Linked DNA regions of Sus scrofa. The protein of the gene in region 2 purifies or fractionates together with the protein of the main gene of each other region. This does not show direct contact. Links are inferred from orthologs where the notes say so. Each region holds a gene or a part of one and is shown on either strand. Other genes may lie near its edges. The genes, in order: VDAC3 and ABCC1.

Evidence for each region.
Region 1: the proteins of ABCC1 (region 2) and VDAC3 fractionate together in Homo sapiens (co-fractionation; 3 studies listed by BioGRID). This does not show direct contact. The link is inferred for Sus scrofa from reciprocal best matches to the Homo sapiens genes ABCC1 and VDAC3.

Annotation. Positions count from the first base shown.
Region 1 is NC_010459.5:11,405,395-11,417,018, forward strand, and holds the start of VDAC3 (voltage-dependent anion-selective channel protein 3), read left to right. Parts: upstream 1-4,990; 5' UTR 4,991-5,139; intron 5,140-7,602; 5' UTR 7,603-7,604; coding exon 7,605-7,671; intron 7,672-8,478; coding exon 8,479-8,528; intron 8,529-9,789; coding exon 9,790-9,792; intron 9,793-11,624. UniProt on the Homo sapiens protein: Non-selective voltage-gated ion channel that mediates the transport of anions and cations through the mitochondrion outer membrane and plasma membrane.
Region 2 is NC_010445.4:28,465,767-28,477,325, reverse strand, and holds the start of ABCC1 (multidrug resistance-associated protein 1), read left to right. Parts: upstream 1-4,385; 5' UTR 4,386-4,557; coding exon 4,558-4,584; intron 4,585-9,025; coding exon 9,026-9,151; intron 9,152-11,559.

The DNA.
Region 1 (11,624 bases), on a different chromosome or scaffold from region 2:
CCATATTTCAGAATATGAATGTATTATAGTTTAAGAAATCCTTTAAATGTTGGCCATTTAGGTTGCTTTTAATTTTTTTGCTACTGTAATTCATTCAAGATATTCAAAATAAATCTTTGCACAAGTCTGTTTCCTTGAGTCCAGTCCTCAGACATAGAATGTCAGGGTATGAAATTAACATAAAATATAAAACAACATAGTCTTGAATCTCTGTCCCTTGTGCTGGGAGCCCTTTCCCTCTCATCCACCTGACTCATCCTTTCACCGCTGGGTCCCTGGGCTCCGAAGTTTCCTTGGAAGAGGCCCAGGGACAGGGCTTGCACCTCCTCTTCTCCAAAGTTGCCATCAGCTACTCGATGCATCCTCGCCCTCAGTGTCAGAATTCTGGAGTCCTTGAAAACAAGTGGGCCCTTTCTTTTTAAAGAAACAGGGACTTAAATAACACCACTGACAGAGTTCCCGTTGTGCCTTAGCAGTAAAGAACCTGACTAGTATCCATGAGGATGAGAGCTCAATCCCTGGCCTTGTTCAGTGGGTTAAGGATCCAGCATTGCCAAGAGGTGTGGTGTAGGTTGCAGAGGTGGCTCGGATCCTTCCTTTCTGTGGCTGTAGCTAGAGGTTGGCAGCTACAGTTCCAATTTGACCCCTAGCCTTGGAACTTCCATATGTCACAGGTGCGGCCCTAAAAAAGACAAAATAAATAAATAATACCATGGCTTCAGAATCTTAATTTTCCTTCCACTCAGGGCCATGGAGTCGTCAAACCTTCACAGTGGGGCTTCTCAATTTCGTGGGGTCTTTTTTTCTTTTCTTTCCTTTTTTTTTTTTTTTTTTTTTTTTTTTTTTGGTCTCTTTGCCTTTTTCTATGGCCGCTCCCGTGGCATATGGAGGTTCCCAGGCTAGGGATCTAATCGGAGCTACAGCTGCTGGCCTACGCCAGAGCCACAGCAATGCAGGATCCGAGCCCCGCCTGCAACCTACGCCACAACTCACGGCCACACCAGATCCTTAACCCACTGAGCAAGGCCAAGGATCGAATCCGAAACCTCATGGTTCCTCGTCGGACAACGGGAACTCCTGTTTTTCATTTCTGAAGGAAAAACTATACTAACCTAAGATTCTCCCTCCCAAAGGTACTCAGGCAGATGAGCAAGTTTTCCGATTAGAGCAGGTGATCTGTGTTGGGGGCCCCCCTGGAACGCACATGGCATGCACAGGTCAGGGACATGTCGGGGTGTGTGCTCAACCATGAGCACGGTGCCCTGTACATAATGAGCACTTGGCAAATGTCTCAGCAGCAAAGTCTAAAGCCCTGTCCCTGCTCTAAATTTCTGACTCCAGAGATTTTACAGGAGAAGAACGCCATGTTATTAGGATTTTTTCCTATGCTTTCTGCACGTCCCCAGAGTTTTAGAGCCCAGTGTGTGCGTGCATGCATTTGTGTGTGTGTGTGTGTGTGTGTTGGCAGGGTGAGAACCTGCTATAATTTGGAGGTGGCCAAGGCCAGAGGCTTGATATGGATGTTCAGTTATAACGTGGATCCTGCTTAGCCGACAGGACCAGAGGGACAGGAAGCAAAGGAATGATTCCCTCTGCAGCTGCTGTTTTCCTTAATTTCTTTCATCACTTTCCTGCAGCACGTGCTGGGGGAAAGAGGAGTCTCTCCGTGCATGACCTGGGACAGGTGTTTTCAGGAGAAAAGTCTTTGGGATTTCCCTTGTGGCCTAGCAGATTAAGAATCCGACGTTGTCACTGCTGTGGCACCAATTTGATCCTTGGCCAGGGACCCTCTGCACGCCTCGGGCATGAAGCCAAAGGAAGAAATGTTGCCAAATTCCCATTCAAAGTGCCTTTACAAGGAGTTCCCATTGTGGTTCAGCGGTAACGTGCCAGACTAGTATCCATGAGGTTTCAGGCTCAATCCTGGCCTTGCTCAGTGGCTTAAGGATCCAGCGTTGAAGTGAGCTGTGGTGTAGATTGCAGACATGGCTCAGATCCCGAGTTGCCATGGCTATGGAGTAGGTCTGCAGCTACAGCTCTAACTGGACACCTAGCCTGGCTTTCATATGCTGCAGGTGCAGCCCTACAAAGGAAAAAAAAAAGTGCTTTTTACAACCTTTAATGGCCTGCTTTACCAGACAAAGGCCACGTCTGTGTCAAAGTACAGGCTGGAGTTCTGGTTCTGATATTCATATGTACCTGAATAAACAGAGGTTTGCCTGTATAGCTTTGAATCACTTACAGCGTATTTTCATCTTGTGTAATTAACTAAAGAACACTTTCCATATGTCAGGTAGATTGTTATGTGCTATGGACACATGATTTCGCTTACTATCCACTTCAACACTCTGAAGCAGACCTTACTTAGTTATGTTGCATGGACGTAGAAGCTGAGCATAGAGAGGTTAAGCCGCTCAGCAAAGACCAGAGTTGGCCGAGCTGAGATACACACCCAGGCTCTTTTGACTCCAAAGCTCATTTTATTTAGCCTACTAAGTTATATTTGCTTTGCTGATAACATTGATCTTATTCTGCCTTCTTTGGCAGGTATTTGTCCAAGTCTTCCATTATGAGTCCTTTGGGAGCATTCATCTCACTTATCTCTTATTAGCCTGAAATGCTTTACCTCCAGCAGGGAAATAATATTTGTCTTTTTTTTGTTTTTTGTTTTTTCTAGGGCCGCTCCCACGGCATATGGAGGTTCCCAGGCTAGGGGTCCAATCGGAGCTGTAGCTGCCGGCCTACGCCAGAGCCACAGCAACGCAGGATCCGAGCCGTATCGGCAACCTACACCACAGCTCACGGCAACCCCAGATCCTTAACCCATTGAGCAAGGCAGGGATCGAACCTGCAACCTCATGGTTCCTAGTCAGATTTGTTAACCACTGTGCCACAACGGGAACTCCCAATATTTGTCTCTTGATTCAAGCAGCAATCTGGTATCAATGACTGAATATCAAAGACTTCGTGGGGGTTTTTTCTCCCTAATTTTTTGTTTTGAAAAAAAATTTGTTTTGGCTGTGTCCAATACACATGGAAGTTCCTAGGCCAGAGATCAAACCCCTGCCACAGCAGTGACCCAAGCCACAACAGTGACATTGCTGGATCCTTAATACACTGTGCCACAAGGGAACTCCTAGTTTGAAAAATTTTAAACTTCTAGCAAAGTTTAAAGAATAATGCAACAGGAGTTCCCGTCGTGGCGCAGTGGTTAACGAATCCGACTAGGAACCATGAGGTTGCAGGTTCGGTCCCTGCCCTTGCTCAGTGGGTTAACGATCCAGCGTTGCCGTGAGCTGTGGTGTAGGTTGCAGACGCGGCTCAGATCCTGCGTTGCTGTGGCTCTGGTGTAGGCCAGTGGCTGCAGCTCCGATTTGACCCCTAGCCTGGGAACCTCCATATGCCGAAGGAGCGGCCCAAAAAATAGCAAAAAGACCAAAAAAAAAAAAAAAAGAAAAAAAAGAATAATGCAACAAACATCCATATATTATCCAAACTTTTTAAAAAAAAAATCATTTATTTTTTGTCTTTTTTTCCCTCTTTTTTTAGGGCTGCACCCATGGCATATGGAAGTTCCCAGGCTAAGGGCTGAATAGGAGCTGTAGCTGCTGGCCTACGCCACAGCCACAGGAAGGCCAGATCCGAGCCATGTCTGTGACCTACACCACAGCTCATGGCAATGCCAGATCTTTAACCCTCTGAGCAAGGCCAGGGATTGAACCCGCATCCTCATGGATACTAATCAGATTTGTTTCCGCTGAGCCATGACGGGAACTCCTCCCAACTCTTAACATTTTGTACGTTTTTTCCTTCTTTCTTGACCATTTGATATTTTGCAGTCACATGCTATTTTACCCCTAAATACTTCAGCACATATCTCCTAAAAAGCAGGCCATTTCTCTGTAATCGGGGTATAATCATTACCCTCAGAAAATTTTACATTATCATCCTAATATTGTCGATATTAAAATCTTCTCCATTGTTCCAATAATGATCCTCAAAGGTTGCTTTTTGTTTTTTGATGGAGGGTGCAATTTAGGATCATATTCCTCTCGTCACATCTTTGTTTTGTCTCTTTGCTTTAGAACAGTTCACCAACCTTTTTCTTACTATCTCATGAAACTGACATTTCAGAAGAGACCAGGTGGTTGTTTTGCAGACTGTCCCTCAATTTGGATTTGTCCAGTTGTTTCCTTATGAATAGACAAATCACTCCTTTGGCAAGAATAGGAGCACATGATGTCAGTCTGTACCATCCCAAGGTTGATCACTTGGTTGAGGGTGATTTCTTTGATGTAAAGGTACTCTTTTCTCTTTACTAAGTAATCTGTAGGATGATTGGAATTGTAGGAATATCCTCAATCATTCAGCATCTACTGGTAATTTTTGCTTGAGTTAATTACTGGTGGTTCCAAAGTGGTGACTTTCTATTTCTATAATTTTTTGCTACATTTATGAGTTGGAATTCTTCTCTAAAGAAGTGTTTTCTGTCCTCCAGCGGCTCCTCTCTCTTTGAAATTATAACCTACCCTGTGTCATCTTGATGAAGTCATGTCTCTTACTGCCTCGGCATCTGTTTTCTCATCCTTAAGATGAGATGACCTAAAAGCCACATTCTTGAATGTTGTCATTCTGAGACGAAATCCCCATACAGACTTGCCAGGCATCCTCAGAAAACAGCGCGCAAGTTGCTTGGGCCAGCATCTATCGCGGAGTGGGCGGTGCCTCAGCAACTCCGCCGCGCGGCCCCGCGGCCCCTCCCCTGGCAACGGTTACTATTAACCTCTCCTTCTCGCGAGAGGGGCCTCTTTCGGGGCAGAGGTGCGGTCCCGGGGCCTGCGCGCTCCACGTCAACCACCGCCCAGCCCTGCGCGCTGGGTGCCGAAGCGCACGCGCGCACTCGCGCACTCGGACAGTTGGAGGTGTTGGTCCGCCTCGGGCCCGCGGCGCGCGACCCCGGCGCGACACGCACGCGCGCAGCCGCGGCGCGCAGCCGCGGCGCGGGGCTCGGGGCGCGCAGGCGCCGCGGGCGTGGGGCCGCGCAGGCGCGGACGGCGTTGGTCTGAAGAAGACCTTCAGCCGTGCCCTGGCGGATCCGACAGGCCCTCGTAGCGGAGCCGACAGGCCCTCGGGTAGGAGGTGAGGCAAGCGGGGCCCCCGGGCTGGCGGCTGGGGCGGGGCGGCTGGGGCGGCGACTGGCAGGGGCCCGACGGGAGGCGGCTAACGGAGGGCACGGGAGGAGAGGGTCGCCTAACGGGGCGCGGGCCGGCGGAAGGCGGGGCAGCGGGGACTGGCCCCTCAGGTGATGGGACGCCGCTCCGCCACCTGCTCCCCTCCTTGCCGGCCACTGGGGCCCTCGCCGGGCGTCGGGTCGGCCGGGAGGTTGGTTTTGAGGGAAGTTGGGTCTTCGAACCCCGAACTCACTCGCGCCCCCGGCTTTCTCTCCGGAGTCGGCGTCCAGCTTCGGGGGTCTTCCACTCCCTGCGGCCGGAGGGAGGATGCTGAATGCACTGCTTGACGAGCTGCCGGTCCCGTTAGTGATGGTGTAAAGCTGTGTTGCTAACCCACTCCCTCCCCCCGACTGCGGCTAATGCAGCCCCGGAACGCCGTGCACGTCCACGGGCGAGTGCACTTGTAGAGTAATGGAAACGTGTGGAACGTGAAGTCTTCTCGAGCTTTTGCTTGATCATACCAGCAGTGCATTTCCCATCAGAATCACGGGCCTGAAGAAATAAGCTTGAACCAGGCGAACTTGAGGTCAAATCCCCTATACAACTTTTGCAAAGTGTCTGGCAGTAGTTTTGAAAACGAGGCACAATGCTAAGAAAGATTGTAATTGGTTCCTAGATGATGTTTCTAAACATTTAAGTGTATCTTTTCTCTTGTCAATAGATTAAGGCTTTACAGTCTAGTTTTGTTTTTTAACGTTTCTGTTTGAATATATAGTGCCTGCTTTTCTCTGCTTATCTCCCAACCTATAGACTTCTGACACAATTTCAACAGATACCTGCGTCAGTTGTGATCATAAAGAATACTATCAGATTGCAATTGGCAGGGTGTAAAAAGTCTAGAATTGATTATTTGAACACAAGGGAGTGAATTGTAAATTAATTTCTCTGGACCTGAACTATGAAACCTTGTGGTTTAAACCAAAGTTTTATTATGCTATGACTCAGTACATTTATCTTCTTTTATCTTTTCTATACGCTTTCCTCTTAACTTTGTATGTATTTTTATACTATATCATACTGTCTATCGTATTTGACAGGTCTAAGTTAAGAAAGAAATTTTAAATGGATTCACAATTAAGAAGTACACCATAGGGGTTCCCATCGTGGCTCAGTGGTAATGAACCCAACTAGTATCCATGAGGATACAGGTTTGATCCCTGACCTCGCTCGGTGGGTTAAGGATCCAGCATGGCCCTGAGCTGTAGTGTAGGTTACAGAGGTGGCTTGGATCCTGCGTTGCTGTGGCTGTGATGTAGGCCAGCAGCTGTAGCTCCGATTAGACCCCTGGCCTGGGAACTTCATATGCCAAGGGTGAGGCCCTAAAAAGACCAAAAAAAAAAAAAAAAAAAAGGAGGTACCATAAAGTGTGTGTTGTGTTCAGGTGTGTTGGGATGGGACAGAAACTTAGCAGAGGGCCAGATTAAGAGCTAGGCTAAATATAAATAAATAGCAGATTGAATGTGTATTTGCTCCAGGCATAGCAATAGCAAGGGCTAGCTGGTGCTCTAGATTTTTCTAGAGTAATGGGGAGTAGTAATGGGGTTGCTTGAAGCAGTTCTACAGTTGGTTAGACATGGCTTTTGAGGATACTGTAGGAGGAGATTTCCTGTTCTGCAAAGAGGGCAAAGGAAGCAGCAGTGTCGATAGGCCTGAAGATTTTGATGTGAGGGTCATATTGGCAGCAGAAAGGCTGTCTGAATAGTAAGTAGACAGGGTGAAAGATCAAGCAAGCACCTTGGGTTTTTGAAGGCTTTAACTTGAGAGTATACACTGATTTTTGTTAAGCCGATTACTTCAGGTAGAATCTAGCCTATTTCTGGCTAATAGGTAAGATTATAATACTTTATTTTAAGAGCTTTGAGAGAGGGCATATTCTGGATGGGTGTATTTCACTTATTCTTAGTTTAAGGACTGAATTTCAGAGTAGCCAAAATGTTAACCCTGAAGATTTTAAATTGCATCTCTTTTTCAGTTCCTCAGAAAATTTACCTTGTCATCTTATACAGCTCTTTGGCTTTATAACAGCCCAAGAAATACTTTTCTAATGTAAGTTTTTGCATTTTTAAAAAGTAAAAATATAGTTTTAAAAAAGCGTCTCCTTCAGCCTGTGAGAAATTTCTTTTCTTGGAAAGAGGTCAGAAAGATGACCTCTGTGAGTCTCATGAAAAAACCCTTTTATTCTCCAGTGTTCTGGAAAGCTCTTTTTAAAGGAGCAGAATGCTTTCTCTTAACCTTGCTGCATTAGGGTATAAGCATTAACGATGCAGAGGAAGAAAAAAATGTATACCTCTTTTCACAGGACCAAACAGTTGAACACAGAATAAATGCAAAATGGTTATTTTCATTCCTTTGTCCTCATTTTTTTTTTAAGATATGTGTAACACACCAACTTACTGTGATCTAGGAAAGGCTGCCAAGGATGTCTTCAACAAAGGATATGGTAAGTGTGCTATTGTAAATTACCAATTTGGGTAAGCATTAATACTGTATATATTAAGCTATATGGGAGATACTGTACTTGATAAAATGAGGTTAAGTCAACATTAATCTATTTCATAAGATTTAAGGGGATAACTATTAGCAGATTACTAGATCTCTTTTTTTTTTAGAGTTAGAGGCCCTCAAGCATTAAAAACCATTGTGTACATAAGCACATTTGCGTATTTTATATTATCTTTTGGGTGAAATAATATAAATCTGCAATATTTTGCTAGGGCCTTTTGCTAGGCCCTGGGGACAGTTAAAGTAGGGGACATATTTTTGCTCCTCCAAATAATGACAGTGCTTTCATTATTTGAGTGAAGATACAGCTTTTGACTTCTTTGGAGGAACATAGAGTGTTTGAAACCAAATAGACATTTATCTTTGGTGTTTAAATTTTTAATTTTTCGTGTTGTACTCATTTGATTTTTTATTTACTAATAATGTTAATTGTGTATTTTTATATTTAAAGCTTGTGTATATGTCTACATAATTTCTCTTAATTTTGATTCTTAAAATAGTATATGTTCCTTTCATCCATTTGTTTTTTAACTCATTTCAAAAATATGCCTTTAGTATTTTGAGGGACTTAAAAATTATACTTATTTTGTTATAATTCAGTTTCTTGTGGAACTCCCACTTAGTGAGAATACTGTGTATTTTCCATATAAAATGTACTGTGGAGTATTTTCATAATTTCTAAGTTGCAAAGACTAGAGTGCATGTTACATTTTGTACATTACTGTGTTTTTATGTGTGTGTCTAGGGTTTGGCATGGTCAAAATAGATCTGAGAACCAAGTCATGTAGTGGAGTGGTAAGTACTTAATGTATTTTTAATATATTTGACATAATTATCTTAAAGAAACCTGTTTAAAAATCATTGTTTTTTTTTTTTTTTTTTTTTTTTTTTGTCTTTTTAGAGCCGCATCCACAGCATATGGAGGTTCCCAGGCTAGGGGTCCAGATGGAGCTATAGCTGCCAGCCTACACCACAGCCACAGCAACGCCAGATCTGAGCAGCGTCTGTGACATGCACCACAGCTCATGGCAATGCCAGATCCTTAACCCACTGAGTGAGGCCAGGAATCGAACCCACAACTTCATGGTTCCTAGTCAGATTCGTTTCCGCTGCACCATGGCAGGAACTCCTAAAAGTCATTGTTTAGTCAGATTACTTGAATCACATGCTTTTCCTGCTAAGCTGTCTTCCCTACAGTCTTCTCCTCCTCTCAGGGAGACCCTTTGTGTCTGTCATAATAAGAGTGTTCTGAGTCTTATTCTTAAAAGGCGTGGTGTATGTATACACACACACACGTATATATGGGGGCATATATATATATATATATATATATATATTCCCATGTATATGCATTTTTTTTTGACCTATGCCATATCTTTATGCTTTCATGAATATGTATGTGGACACTAAAATCTTTGCCTCCATTATACTGGGTTCATGCAAATTTTATTGTCTTTTTATAAAAACAAAACTGATTTTAATCCTTTCATGATTAGTTGAAACAAATGTAGAAATACATGTAGAAGATTAGTCTACAGTACAGTTTTTATTGATGTTCATGAAATCTTTTTTACTGGAAGTTAAGAATATGGTAAGGGCTTATCAGCATATTGTCACAGCACCTTTAACTAGAGCTTTTATTCAGTAAGTCTCAGCATGTCAACTTGAGAGTCAATTTAGTCTTTGACTTCTCCTTATTGACTGTACCTTTTTTGTTTGGTATTTACCTGTTCGAACCAGTGCAAATTGTATTTCTGGATATAATGATTTAATTATAAAGATAAGAAGCACGTGGAGTAGTTATGGTACTGTGCCTTACATTCCGTATAATCCTGGTTTGTCACTATTATTCTTTCCCTGGGTTTTCCAAGGGTAAATATGTATATATCTGCCCTTCAGGATGGGATTTTGTTATATTGTCTGTTAAAATAGAAAATTTATACTCATTTCGATTAGGGTTTCTAAATTTGCTCAGGGTAGGTTTCTGTTGCAAAAATCAACAACTGAAATTTTTATCTCCCTCTCATGCTGCTGTTGTGTGGAAATATTCATTCAGATGGTAAGAAAAATAGCATATTTGTGTGCTTGTTTTTATGGCTGCTTTTTCTCTGGTACTGATTTAGGATAAATTTCAACCATTGCTCCAAATTTCTTAGATCATATCTTGATATTTTTGTGATACGTCATCTATAACAGTAACATGTTTATGAGTGTTTTGTTGTATACTAGCATTTAATGGAAAACTGTAGATATTATATGCATGTTATAAATAAAAATTTTACACTAGATAATTGTTTTATCTAATTATGCAATTAGACTAGAGTGGAAGTAACTGTGAGACTGGAACTCTGCTTAGGAAAATTCTGACCTTCTCTTTGAGATTTGTACCTCTGGCATTTTAGATTTTTGATAGAGCTTCAGACTAAGAAATGTCTGCTGATAATAAGAAAGAAATGTAGACTAAATACTCTTTTACCTTTTTTGCACGAAAATTAAGGTTTGTATTTGCTAATCTTTCAAGTTTATAAAAGGTACATATGAAAAATAAAGCATTAGGTAGTTAGATATATTAAAAGAAAGCGATATGACCTGTTAAACATGACCAGCATTTATCATTTTTTACCAAGGCCTTGCCTAAGTGTGCAGCATGATACTCTCTTTGAAAGCTTTCTGTGTGGTGCTGATAAACAGATCACAGTTTCCCAGTTGTTTCAACAGCTCATAGAACAAGAGTTGGGAGGAGGGTATTTGGTGAAGGGAGGATTCACACTGCAGGCAGTGAAACAGCTTGGCGGCCTTTGATGCCTGGTGGCAGTATTTCAGAAATGTTCTTTAAAAACAGGGCCAATCAGAATGTTTTTTCCTTGACAGTTGATAGACTGTCAGTGACAGGTGTTGACTGTTGGTATCCCTAGAAGGAGGTCAGTTTCTCATTGCTTATTGTCATGTGGCTGAAGGAATACCAAACTGGGGAGGAGGATATATTTTCAGGCACTCATAGTAACTGTTTGACAGAAAGTACTTTGAAAGGTAGATGGGGGAGAGGGAGGAAGAGGGAATAGTTAGAATATTCCATTTTATTATGAAAAATGGAATGATCCTTTCAAATATTGAAATTGTTTATGTGGAAAATTTTACAGATAGTTTTGTGGGTAAAAGCTGTAAGCCTTCCTAACAGTGAGAATTTATTTAATGCCAGTGAACTATACACATAAACATGGTTAAAATTGGGAGTTCCCATTGTGGCTCAGCAGGTTAAGAACCCAACATAGTGTCTTTGAGGATGCAGGTTCCATCCCTGGCCTCACTCAGTGGATTAAGGATCCAGCATTGCCTTAAGCTGTGGTGTAGGTCACAGACACAGCTTGGATCCTGCATTGCTATGGCTGTGGCTGGTGTAGGCCACAGCTGCAGCTCCAGTTCAACCCCCAGTCTGGGAACTTCCATATGCTGCAAGTATGGCCATAAAAATAAATTAAAATATTTTTTAAAATAACAAGAATGATTAAAATGGTAAATTTTACATTAAGTGTATTTCATGGTAATACAAATACTTTTTTTTTTTTTGCTTTTTTGGGCTGTACCTGTAGCATTACAGCATATGGACATTCCCAGGCTAGAGGCTGTGTTGGAGCTACAGCTGCAGGCCTACTCCACAACCACAGCAACTCAGAATCCAAGCCAAGTCTTCAACCTACATGACAGCTCACGGCAATGCCAAATCCCCGACCCACTTAGTGAGTCCAGGGATCAAACCCACATCCTCATGGATACTAGTCAGATTTGTTTCCACTGCGCCATAATGGGAACTCCAATATATATATATTTTTAATGCAGTAAAGTCCTAACCCTTTTAAAAGGGGGAAGTCTAGGGCTTCTAGTGTTTGGATT
Region 2 (11,559 bases):
TAGTTTGGGAAGGCTTCAGCACGTAAATAAATTATCTAGTGAAAGTGAATTAATACAAAAAGAGAGAGAGACATGGATGGATGCCTAGGTGGATGGGTGGGTGGGTAGATGGGTGGGTGGCTGGCTGCTTGGATGTGTGGGTTGTGGGAGTGGGTGGATGGAGAGATGGGTAGATGGATGGATGGATGCACTGGTGCATGGATGGGTGGGTAGGTGGATGGATGGGTTCACAGATGGGAGGATAATTCTGTCTGTGGGTGGATGCAGAGATGTATGGATAGATGAGCTGCCCTGAGGAGGACTAAGTGGGACCAGGACCGGAAGCAGGAAATGGGTAGGACGCTACTGCAAACCCAGGCAGGGGGTCATTGGGGCAAGGATCAGGTTATTGAAGTCTCACATACAAACTGAGCTTCTTATATACGTAACTGTATATATTAAGTCCTAGCATTGTTTTCTTACTAGAAAGGCAGATTCCTTTGGAATGAGCTTTTTCTGGCAATTGCTCAGAAACTGTTTTGTATGTAATAGCCACCAGCAGTTTAATCCCCTTTCCACCAGCAGCTTAAGAATTATAAGAGGTATGAATTCATCAAATTAGTCTTTGACATAAACCACAGCTCTTGATGACCAGATTCTTATTTCCAAGGCTGTCTTCTCAATGCCCATGTCCACAGAGGCGTGACCTTTATCCTTTTTCAGGTTTAGAAGTTTCCTAGCTAAATCCTTTGGTGTGTGTTGACCTGTTCAAATTTACTTTTCAGTGATTCCTTGTTCTTGGTTCTGGAAAAATAACCTTTCGTATCATCAAATAATTATACCTCTGAAGAACCAGTTTGAGTACTTGCTTATTTAATACCTAGGGCGTTCTGTCTTTTTTAAAGTCAAATTCTTGGGAGTTCCTGTTGCGGCTCAGTGGTAACGAACTCGACTGGTATCCATGAGGACACGTGTTCAATCCCTGGCCTGGCTCAGTGGGTTAAGGATCCGGCATTGCCTTGAGCTGTGTTGTAGGTCACAGATGTGGCTCCGATCCCATGTTGCTGTGGCTGTGGTGTAGGCCGGCAGCTACATCTCCGATTTGACCCCTAGCCTGGGAACCTCCATATGCCATGGCTGCAGCCCTAAAAAAGACCAAAAAAAAAAAAAAAAAAAAAGTCAAATTCTTCCTTTTTTTTTTTGCCTTGCCCAAGGTATGCAGAAGTTCCTGGACCAGAGGTTGAATCTGTGCCACAGCACTAACCTGAGCCAAAGCAGTGACAACACTGGATCCTTAACCACTAAGCCACCAGGGAATTCCAAATCTTATGTTTTCTTTCTTTTTTGACTGCCCCATGGCATCCGAAATTCCCAAGCCCACAGATCAGATCTGAGCCACATTGTCACTCAGCTGCAGCTGCGGCAACACCAGATCCTTAAGCCATCGTGCCAGGCCAGGGATTGAACCTGTGTCCCAGCGCTCCCAAGACACCGCAGATCCCGGTGCGCCACAGCGGGAACTCCCTTTCTTATTGAACCATCTTAATGTTTTTACGTGTACACTCCAGTAGTGTTAAGTATGCTCACGCTCTTGTGTGCAGCTAGGCCTCTTTTTTGAAAAGCTAGGAACAAATATTTTGATCGATCGTGAAATGTCTCTAAGTGAAATGATCCTCATGGTCCCATTGCTTTCTGTTCTTTAACGTTCTTTGATGTACTTGAGGTAGCTTGTGTGGAGTCCTCAGACTCCATGGTCCCTAGAGTTCCTTGGTGATCTCGTTTATCTGACTGTGGGAAGGCTGTTGGAGTCGGAGCTGCCTGGAGGTGTCTGGAGAGCTCATTGTCCGGTGGTGGAGAGAGGATGCTTGGGGAGGGGCTGCCTGGGGACTGGCCAGCTGGATTGCCTGCACCTTATCCAGAGACCAGCTACAACCTAGCCCCCCTTAATGATTGTGAAGTGGGAATATGGGCCCAGTGCTGCTAGTTTTCTGTTTTGTTTTTTTTTTAAAGAGATACCAGAAATCCATTTTTTTAAAATGTGAAATTTCCTGCTTTTAAATGTTGGCAGCTAACCTAAGTTTTTTTTTTTTTTTTTTGCTTGTTTTTTTAGGGCCACACCTGCTGCATATGGAAGTTTGTAGGCTAGGGGTCAAATTGGAGATGTAGCTGCTGGCCTACACCACAGCCGCAGCAACAGCCATGTGGGATCAGAGCCACCTCTTTGACCTATACCACAGCTCGTGGCAACACCGGATCCTTAACCTACTGAGTGGGGCCAGGGATTGAACCTTCATCCTCATGGATCCTACTCAGGTTCATTAACTGCTAAGCCACGAAGGGAACTCCACAGGTGGTTTCTGAGAAAATAAAAGTAATGAAAACAAATTTCTTTTCAGGGCTGGATAGCTTTAGTGGTTAAATGTGGGCACTTCAGAACCAAATCACACGAGTTTGAGTTTGAACAGTCAGATCATACCGACTGTTGAAATACTACACAGATCACTCAACCTCTCTGTGCCTTAGTTTTCCCTTCTGAAAAAGGAATGGTAATTATAGAATTAAAGGAGATAGTACATTTAAGGAATTTGGAATAGGGCCTGGAGCAGTCTGGGGAGTTTCTGTCATGGCTCAGCGGAAACAAATCTGACTAGCATCCATGAGGACCCAGGTTTGATCCCTGGCCTCGCTTAGTGGGTTAAGGATCCGGCGTTGCCATGAGCTATGGTGTAGGTTGCAGACGAGGTTTAGATCCCTCATTGCTGTGGCTGAGGCATAAGCTGGTGGTTGCAGCTCTGATTCGACGCCTAGCCTGGGAACCCCATATGCCACGGGTGTGGCCCTAAAAAAGCAAAAGCAAAAAAAAAATAACCTTGCAGATTGGGTGTTATCCATGCTGCTGACACTAATGGTGGTGATGATGATGAAAGTGACATGATAGAGCTGATTGGTGGTGTTGATGGTCCTGATGAAAGTGATGATGACGGTGCTGATGAAAGCAGTCGTGTGGTGATGATGCTGATTAAAGTGGTTGTGATAGGAGTTCCCATCGTGGCTCAGTGGTTAATGAACCCGTCTAGTATCCATGAGGACACGGGTTCGAACCCTGACCTTGCTCAATGGGTTAGGGATCCGGCGTTGCCTAGAGCTGTGGTGTAGGTCACAGACACGCTTGGATCCTGCATTGCTGTGGCTGTGGCGTAGGCTGGTGACTACAGCTTTGATTTGGCCCCTGGCCTGGGAACCTCCATATGCTTTGGGTGCGGCCCTAAAAAGACAAAAAACAAGAGAAAACAACAAAGAGAGAAAGTGGTCATGATAGTGATGATGCTGATGGTGATGGTGCTATTGATGCTGATGAAAGTGGTCATCATAGTGATGATGCTGATGGTGATGATGCTAATGATGCTGATGAAAGTGGTCATGCAGATGAAAGTGGTCATGATGGTGATGATGCTGATGCTCTTGATGCTGATGAAAGTGGTCATGATGGTGATGATGCTGATGGTGATGATGCTGATGATGCTGATGAAAGTGGTCATGATGGTGATGATGCTGATGGTGATGATGCTAATGATGCTGATGAAAGTGGTCCTGATGGTGATGATGCTGATGGTGATGATGAAAGTGGTCATGATGGTGATGATGCTGATGATGCTGATGCTGATGATGCTGATGAAAGTGGTCATGATGGTGATGATGCTGATGGTGATGATGCTGATGATGCTGATGAAAGTGGTCATGATGGTGATGATGCTGGTGGTGATGATGCTAATGATGCTGATGAAAGTGGTAATGATGGTGATGATGCTGATGGTGATGATGAAAGTGGTCCTGATGGTGATGATGCTGATGGTGATGATGCTGATGATGCTGATGCTGATGATGCTGATGAAAGTGGTCATGATGGTGATGATGCTGATGGTGATGATGCTAATGATGCTGATGAAAGTGGTCATGATGGTGATGATGATGGTGCTGATGAAAGTGGTCATGTTAGTGATGACAGTGATGCTGATGCCGATGGAGATCATGGTGTTGGGGGAGAATATTAGAAAGCTCTTAATTCACAAGATTGCAAAGGAGAAATGATTTATGTAACTAAAGGATGCCTCTGTTTCCAGAATACCTTTAGAGATTCCTCTAAACGGCAGTCTACCGTCTTTTGTACAATAATGGAACTTGCCACAGGTCCCAGGAACTTAACTGGTGGGTGAGAGGAGACATACCATCATCCCTCATTCCTTGTTTTGTGGTCTTTCTGGCTACCGCTCGTTCCAGTTTGCCTGTTCTCTCTGCGAGGGCCTCAGTTGTAGGGGTCTTGTCTGTTTTCTTAAAACCCACAGCAGCTGGTTTTGAACTCCACACTGGCCCCCTGCCCAAGCTCTTTAGGGCACCCCGTTGACCCTGAGCCTGTGTTTGTTTCCGCAGGAGTGGAACGTCACGTGGAACACCAGCAACCCCGACTTCACCAAGTGCTTTCAGAACACCGTCCTCGTGTGGGTGCCTTGCTCTTACCTCTGGGTCTGCTTCCCCTTCTACTTCCTCTATCTCTCCCGCCATGACCGGGGCTACATTCAGATGACACATCTCAACAAAGCCAAAACTGTAAGTCACGGGTTTTATCGTGATGTGTGTGTCAGGGTGTGGGTGTGCTGGGGTCGGGAGTGGTGGTTGTGAAAACTGTCATGTTTCTGCTACTTACTTGGCCCTGAGTTCCTTTTCTAGGAGACAGAATGATAACGTAATAGGAATTCCCATTGTGGCTCAGCAGAAATGAATTTGACTAGCATCCATGAGATTGCGGGTTCGATCCCTGGCCTCGCTCAGTGGATTAAGGATCTGGTGTTGCCGTGAGCTGTGGTGTAGGTTGCAGACATGGCTCGGATCTGGTGTTGCTGTGGCTATGGTGTAGGCCAGCAGCTACAGCTCTGATTGGACCCCTAGCCTGGGAACCTCCATATGTCGCGGGTGTGGCCCTAAAAAGACAAGGCAAAAAAAGAAAGAAGGAATAATAACCTCATAGGTAAAGGCTAGGGCTCTGGGTTCAGATGTGTGTTCAGATGTGGACTCTGCCACTGGCTCACTGTATGACCTTGAGCAAATGTCTTTTTTTTCTTCCGGTTTTATTGAGATATAATAGGCAGACAGCATGGTGTACGTTTAAGTGTACAGCCTAATGATTTGACGGGCATGCATCATGAAATGATTATTGCAGTAAGTTTCATGAACATCCACCATCTCATATAGATACTAAATTAAAGAACTAGAAAAAAAATTTTTTTCCCTTGAGCAGCTTTCTTAACCTCCCTGAGCCTCAGTTAACTTATCATATCAGTGGGGATGATAGACTTTATCTCAGGAGCTCATCCAGAGATTTGACCAAAGATGTCTTTTTAACTGAAAAAAGCTTTTATCTTGAAGAAATTTCAAACTACAGAGAAGTTGCAAGAACAGTACTTAGCACTCCCAGCAGCCTGGTATGCACCTTACTCAGTCACCAATTTTTAACATTTGCTACATGTTACATCATCCCTTTCTCCCCCCCCCTTTTTTTTTGGTCTATTTGGGGCCACACTCGAGGCATGTGGAAGTTTCCAGGCTCCGGGTTGAAAGACATGCTCAGAGCTGCAGCTGCCGGCCACAGCCACAGCAACATGGGATCCAAGCTGTGTCTGTGACCTATAACACAACTCACAGCAATGCTGGATCCTTAACCCACTGAGCGAGGCCAGGAATCGAATCTGCATCCTCATGGATACTAGTCGGATTTGTTACCACTGAGCCACCACGGGAACTCAAACCTCATCTCACTCTTTTGCTTTCTCCATAGATACATATTATTTATTTTTTCTGGATCATTTGAGAATAGCTAGCATCCATCCCGCCCCTTTACCCCTGATTCTTCAATATATCTTTTCTCGAAACAGGGATATCCTCTTACATAACAGGACAGTTATCAAGTTCAGGAAATTTAACATGGACATGATACTTAAAAAAAAAAAAAAAAGTCTACTATGAGAAGTTCCCTCCAAGGCTCAGTGGGTTAAGGATCTGACTGTGGCAGCTCAGGTCACTCCAGAGATGCCTGTTTGATCCTGGGCCTGGGGCAGTGGTTTAAAGATCTGGTGTTGCCAGCAGCTGTGGTTTAGGTCACAGCTGTAGCTGGAATTCCATCCCTGGTCCAGGAACTTCCATATGCTGCAGGTATGGCCACACACACACACACAAAAAAAAAAAACAAAACAAAAAAACTACTATGTATGTTCCATTTTTGTCACTTGTCCCAATACTACCCTTTCTAGCATCTCCACCCTCTTCCCCCCAGTCCAGGGTCATACACTGCATTTAGACACACTGTCTGTTTATTTTTCCTGTAATTTTGGAAGAATTGTTCACCTTTATTTTTTATGACACTGGCATATTTGGAGAATGCGGACCAGTTAATTTTGTCCGTTCCCCAACTTGGGTGTTGGGGCAACGTTTCCTCACGATTAGATTCAGCTAATGCCTGTCTGGCTAGAAAACTACAAAAGGGATGTGGGGTCCTTCTCTGGGTTACATCTAAGGCCCCTTGGTGTCCATCTGCCCCTCCCTGATTGGCTTGCATTTTTTTGGCCATGTCCATGGCCTGTGGCAGTTTCTGGCCCAGGGATGGAACCCGTATCCCAGCGGTGACCCAAGCCATAGCAGTAAGAATACTGGATCTTTAACCTGCTGCACTGCAGGGGAACTTCCTGATGGGCTTAATTTTGATCATTTGGTGGGTGTGTCTGCTTTCTCTACTGGGCAGGTTCTGGTTGTCCCCTGTAAGGATGAATGTTTTTGGGGAGACGTGGAGGATACCTGTACATCCTGTTCTTCATCCCTCTTTCTCCTCTTGGCGTGTGTCTGTCCTTTTTTATCTTTTTAGATTAAAATTTTTTTCTATACCATGTATCAGTTTTTTTTTTTTTTTTTTAATTATTGGAGCCTAGTCGACTTCCACTGTTGCGTTGGCTTTTGGCGCACAGCAGAATGCTTCCATTATCCATGTACGTACCCCATTCCTTCTCAGATTCTTCTCCCATGTAGATTATTACAGAGCATGGAGTTGATTTCTCTGTGCTGTACCCCAGGTCCTTGTTACTTAAGAATGTTAGATATAGAAGTGTGTCTTTATCAATCCCGACCTCCCGGTTTATTCCTCCCCCCAGTGTTTTCCCTTTGGTAACCATAGGTTTGGTTTTGAAATCTTCGAGTCTGTTTTGTGAGTAAGTTCTTTTGTATCTTTTTTTTTATGTCGGATTCCACGTATTAGTGATCGCATATGAAATTTGTCTTTATCAGTCCTTTTTTTTTTTTTTTTTTTTTTTTTGGCTGTGCCTGTAGCATACAGAAATTCACAGGCAAGGGATGAAACCCACAGCACAGCAGTGACCCAAGCCATAGCAATGACAATGCCAGGTCCTTAACTTGCTGAGCCACTGCGGAACTCCTATCAGGACTGTATTGCCCAAGATTTATTTCCATAAGCCCTTGGCAAACAGGAAAAACTTGAGTGATTTTACTGAAGCTGTCTCCTCGCCCTTAATACTGCCACCCAAATCCATCTCATTCGGACCACAATCCAAGCCTATCTCAAAATGCTGTCTGCTCCCCTGTCCTCAACTAGATACAGTGTCTTCTTCTTAGACCTCTGGGAGCACTTTGTACTTTTCTTGGGGAAGAATATCTCCCTTTAAAAGCTAAATCAGATTTTGTTCATGCCTTGCTCAACAGCCCTCTGGCAGCTTCTCTTCACAGGGAATAACATCTGGACGTCCTCCTACAGGCCCAATTCAATCTGGCTCCAGGCTCCTCTTCAGCCACCTCCTACCACACACGCAGCCCATGCCACAGCAGCCACAGACCTGCTGAACACATTCCTACCTCAGGACCTTTGCACCTGCTGTTTCCTCTGCCTGACTTGTTCTTTCCTTCAAGTAGTCACTCTTGGCTCTTTACCCAGATGTCTCCTGATCAGAGAGGCCTTCTCTGACCACCCTGTCTTACCTGTTTTATTTCACCTCGTGTCATTTGTTCCTCTCTGGTATGAAAGTATGTATTTTTTATTTATTTTATTTTGTTTTTTATTTAAAAATTATTATAGTTGATTTATAATGTTCTGTCAATTTCTTTCGTACAGCAAAGTGACCCAGATTGTATGTATATACATATATACATTCTTTTTCTCACCTTATCCTCCATCATGTTCCATCACAAGTGATTAGATCCAGCTCCCTGTGCTATGCAGCAGGATCTCATTGCTTATCCACTCCAAATGCGATAGTTTGCCTCTACTAGCCCCAAACTCCCAGTCCATCCACTCCCTCTGCCTCCCCTTTGGCAACCACAAGTCTGTTCTCCAAGTCCATGAATTTCTTTTCTGTGGAAAGGTTCATTTGTGCCGTATATTAGATCCAGGTATAAGTGAGATCACATGGTAGTTATCTTTCTCTTTCTGACCTACTTCACTTAGCATGAGAGTCTCTGTTCCACCCATGTTCCTACAAAGTAAGTATGTATTTTTTAGATTGTTGCTTGCCTGTTTCCTGCCAGGGGAATCAAAGCTCCATGAAGGCAGGGACTTTTGTCTGTTTTTTTCTCTGTTGTATCCTTGTCACCTTGGGGAGTATGTGGCCCATAGTTAGACCCCCAGTAAGTTCTGGTTGGATGCATGATGCTGTTGATACCTGGCCATTATGTGAGGGGCCCCGTGCTGGCTGCCAGGGTTGCGGATGTAGATGAGCCGGAGACTTGAGTTTTCAGGTGCCGAGGAGAATACTGAGCAGACAAATAGACTTGTGTCTGGGGTGTGGGAGGGGCTGCAGACCAGTATGTGACGGCCCCGATGGTGGCTCCCCCTACCTTGGGCTCGTCTGTGTTGCATAGGGTCCGTGCTGACTCCAAAGACCACAGCTGATGGTTTGGGGGTTGGCTGGTCCTCTAGAGGCTAGGCCTTTTGCAGGGATGCTGGGGGAAGTTCCGGTGCCAGCCATTGTAAGATGTACATGTACTTCTCTTTCAGGCCTTGGGATTTTTGCTATGGATTGTCTGCTGGGCAGACCTCTTCTACTCTTTCTGGGAAAGAAGTCTGGGCAAGCTCCTGGCCCCAGTGTTTCTGGTCAGCCCAACCCTCTTGGGCGTCACCATGGTAAGTAGGGGCTGGCACTGTGGAGACCAAAAGTAGTGGCTGGCATTTAGAAACAACAGGATCTCCCAGTAGAAATCCAGCAATCTGGCTGTGTTAGGTGAATTTGGTTTGGTCTTGTGGGGGGCCCAGAGAGGAAAGGGTGATGGAGCTAAGGCCCAAAGGATGAGCAGGGTATCAAAAAGTTGAAGGGACTGGGGGCATAGGATGATCCAGCTGCAGAGAATAGCACATTCAAAGGTCCTGGGGTGGGGTAGAGGGAGAAATTGAGAGTTGGTCTGTGTGCTGGGGACAGAGAGAGTGAGGAGGAGCGGAGGGGGCTGGGACGGCAGGAAGGGCAGAGGGCTGACCATATAGGACCTTGAGCTTCAGGGTAAGTGGGTTCTATCTTGTTTTTCATCCCCAAAGCTGGGTTCTAAACCTTTTTTAAATGCCATGGGTCCCTTTCTTCTTTACCAGTCCTGTCTCCTTCTCAAAAAAATGTTCTTAAAGTCATAAAACATACAAGCTAACAAAAGAAACCATCCTACACACACACACACACACACACACACACACACACACACACGTGCAATTTTGTGATGTGCATTTGTATTTTTACTGAAGTTTAATTTATGTAAACCTTTTTCCTTGAACAATTCATGAGTTTTGACGAACAGATGGTGTCAGGTTAGGTACCATCTCCACATTAGGGATATAGGACAGTTCCATCATCCCACAAAGTTCCCTGGCATGGGCCCCTTTGTCGTCAGCCCTTCCCTCCCCCACCTCCTCCGCTGGCAACTGCTGCTGTGTTTCCTGTCCCTATGGGGTTGCCTTTTCCAGAATGTCATGTGGATGGAACCACACAGGCAGCCTGAGTCTGACTTCTCAGCCCCTGAAGTTCAGAAGATCTTTTTTTTTCAGAGTTGCTTGGTATATTTGATGTGTGGCTTCAGCCCACATTGCTTATCCATGCTTTAGTTATAGGACATTTAGGCTGGGAAACCAATGATCTTTAATCACAGAAACCTAAAAAGCCAAGTTGAGGGAGTTCCCAGTGTGGCTCAGTGGATTAGGACCCTGACTAGTATCCATTATCCATGAAGACTAGCTGGTTTGATCCCTGGCCTCGCTCCGTAGGTGAAGGATCCAGTGTTGCCCTGAGCTGTGGTGTAGGTCACAGATGCAGCTTGGATCACGAATTGCTGTGGCTGTGGTGTAGGCTGGCAGCTGCAGCTGTGATTCAACTCCTAGCCTGGGAACGTCCACGTGCCATGGGTACGGCCCTAAAAAATAAATAAATACATAAAATAATAAAAAGCAAAGTAAAAATACCCATGCTTTACTAATGCATTTCAGATCAAGATCTGCTGTCCAAATAGGGACGGCCCGTGTGTAATAGTCTGAGACTTGTTCAGTTCTCTTTGTCTCTGTTTTTCCTTTTCTTTCACTTGTAAGCGGTGGTGCTGATGAGGGAACGTGAAGCTGGACTTGTGTCCTCTTTAAGTTCAAGGACCCCTGGGTTCTATCCAGAGCCTGTCCTTGGACCCCAGGTTAAAACCCACCTCCTCAAGGGAAAGGTTTTGAACAAGGCTCTGCTGTGCCCAGATGTGCCTGTTTAAGAGCTGACCATGGCCCCCGAGTGGAGAATGGATTGTGGGGCAGGGGTGGAACCTGGGAGGCCAGTGGGGCTCTGGGGGGCGGGTCACCTGGCATGAGGATGGAGGCCGGGGCCGGGGTGAGGGGCAGGTAAATGGAGGATGGGCTTTGGTGGCAGAGTCAGCGTGAGTGGCTGATGGGTTAGAGGTGGGGAGTCGGCGTGGGGGACTGAGGAGGACGAATGAGGACAGACGGACAGATATATTTCTGGCTGGAGCAGCTGGGGGGTGAGTGGAGGCGCCGTGGGGGACCGCAGCACTTTGGGATCCAGCTGGTGACCGTGAGCAGTGTTGGGAGCTGCCACCGGGAGCCGCTCTGCTCCTCTGGGAAATGGCCCTGACCTTTCCTTCTTTCAAGGAAAAGTAGTTTCATTGCTTATTTTTTTTCTCCTGATCGCTAAGTCAGTGTGTCACATGCAAGTCCAGGCTCCAGGTATCAGAAGTGAAATAAAATCTCAGTCCCTGTACCACAGGTGTTCTCATTAAGTTCCCTGAAAACGAACGTGTGACCCGCGCAGGTTAAGGAACCTGCGTTTGCTTCTCTGCCAACTGGGGTTGATAACACGTTGTACCGGGTTAGTGCGTGTGAATCGTGCTCCACGGTGAAGATGACAGACACTCAATAAAGGAAGCGGTTACCACTGCTGCCCAAAGCAGAACCAGTCAGAGACGGGACTGGCCCTTCGGCTCTAAGTCGAGGGTTGGCACACCTTATGTCTTTGTAAATAAAGTTTTATTGGCACCCAGCCCTGTCCGCTCCTCCGTGGATCA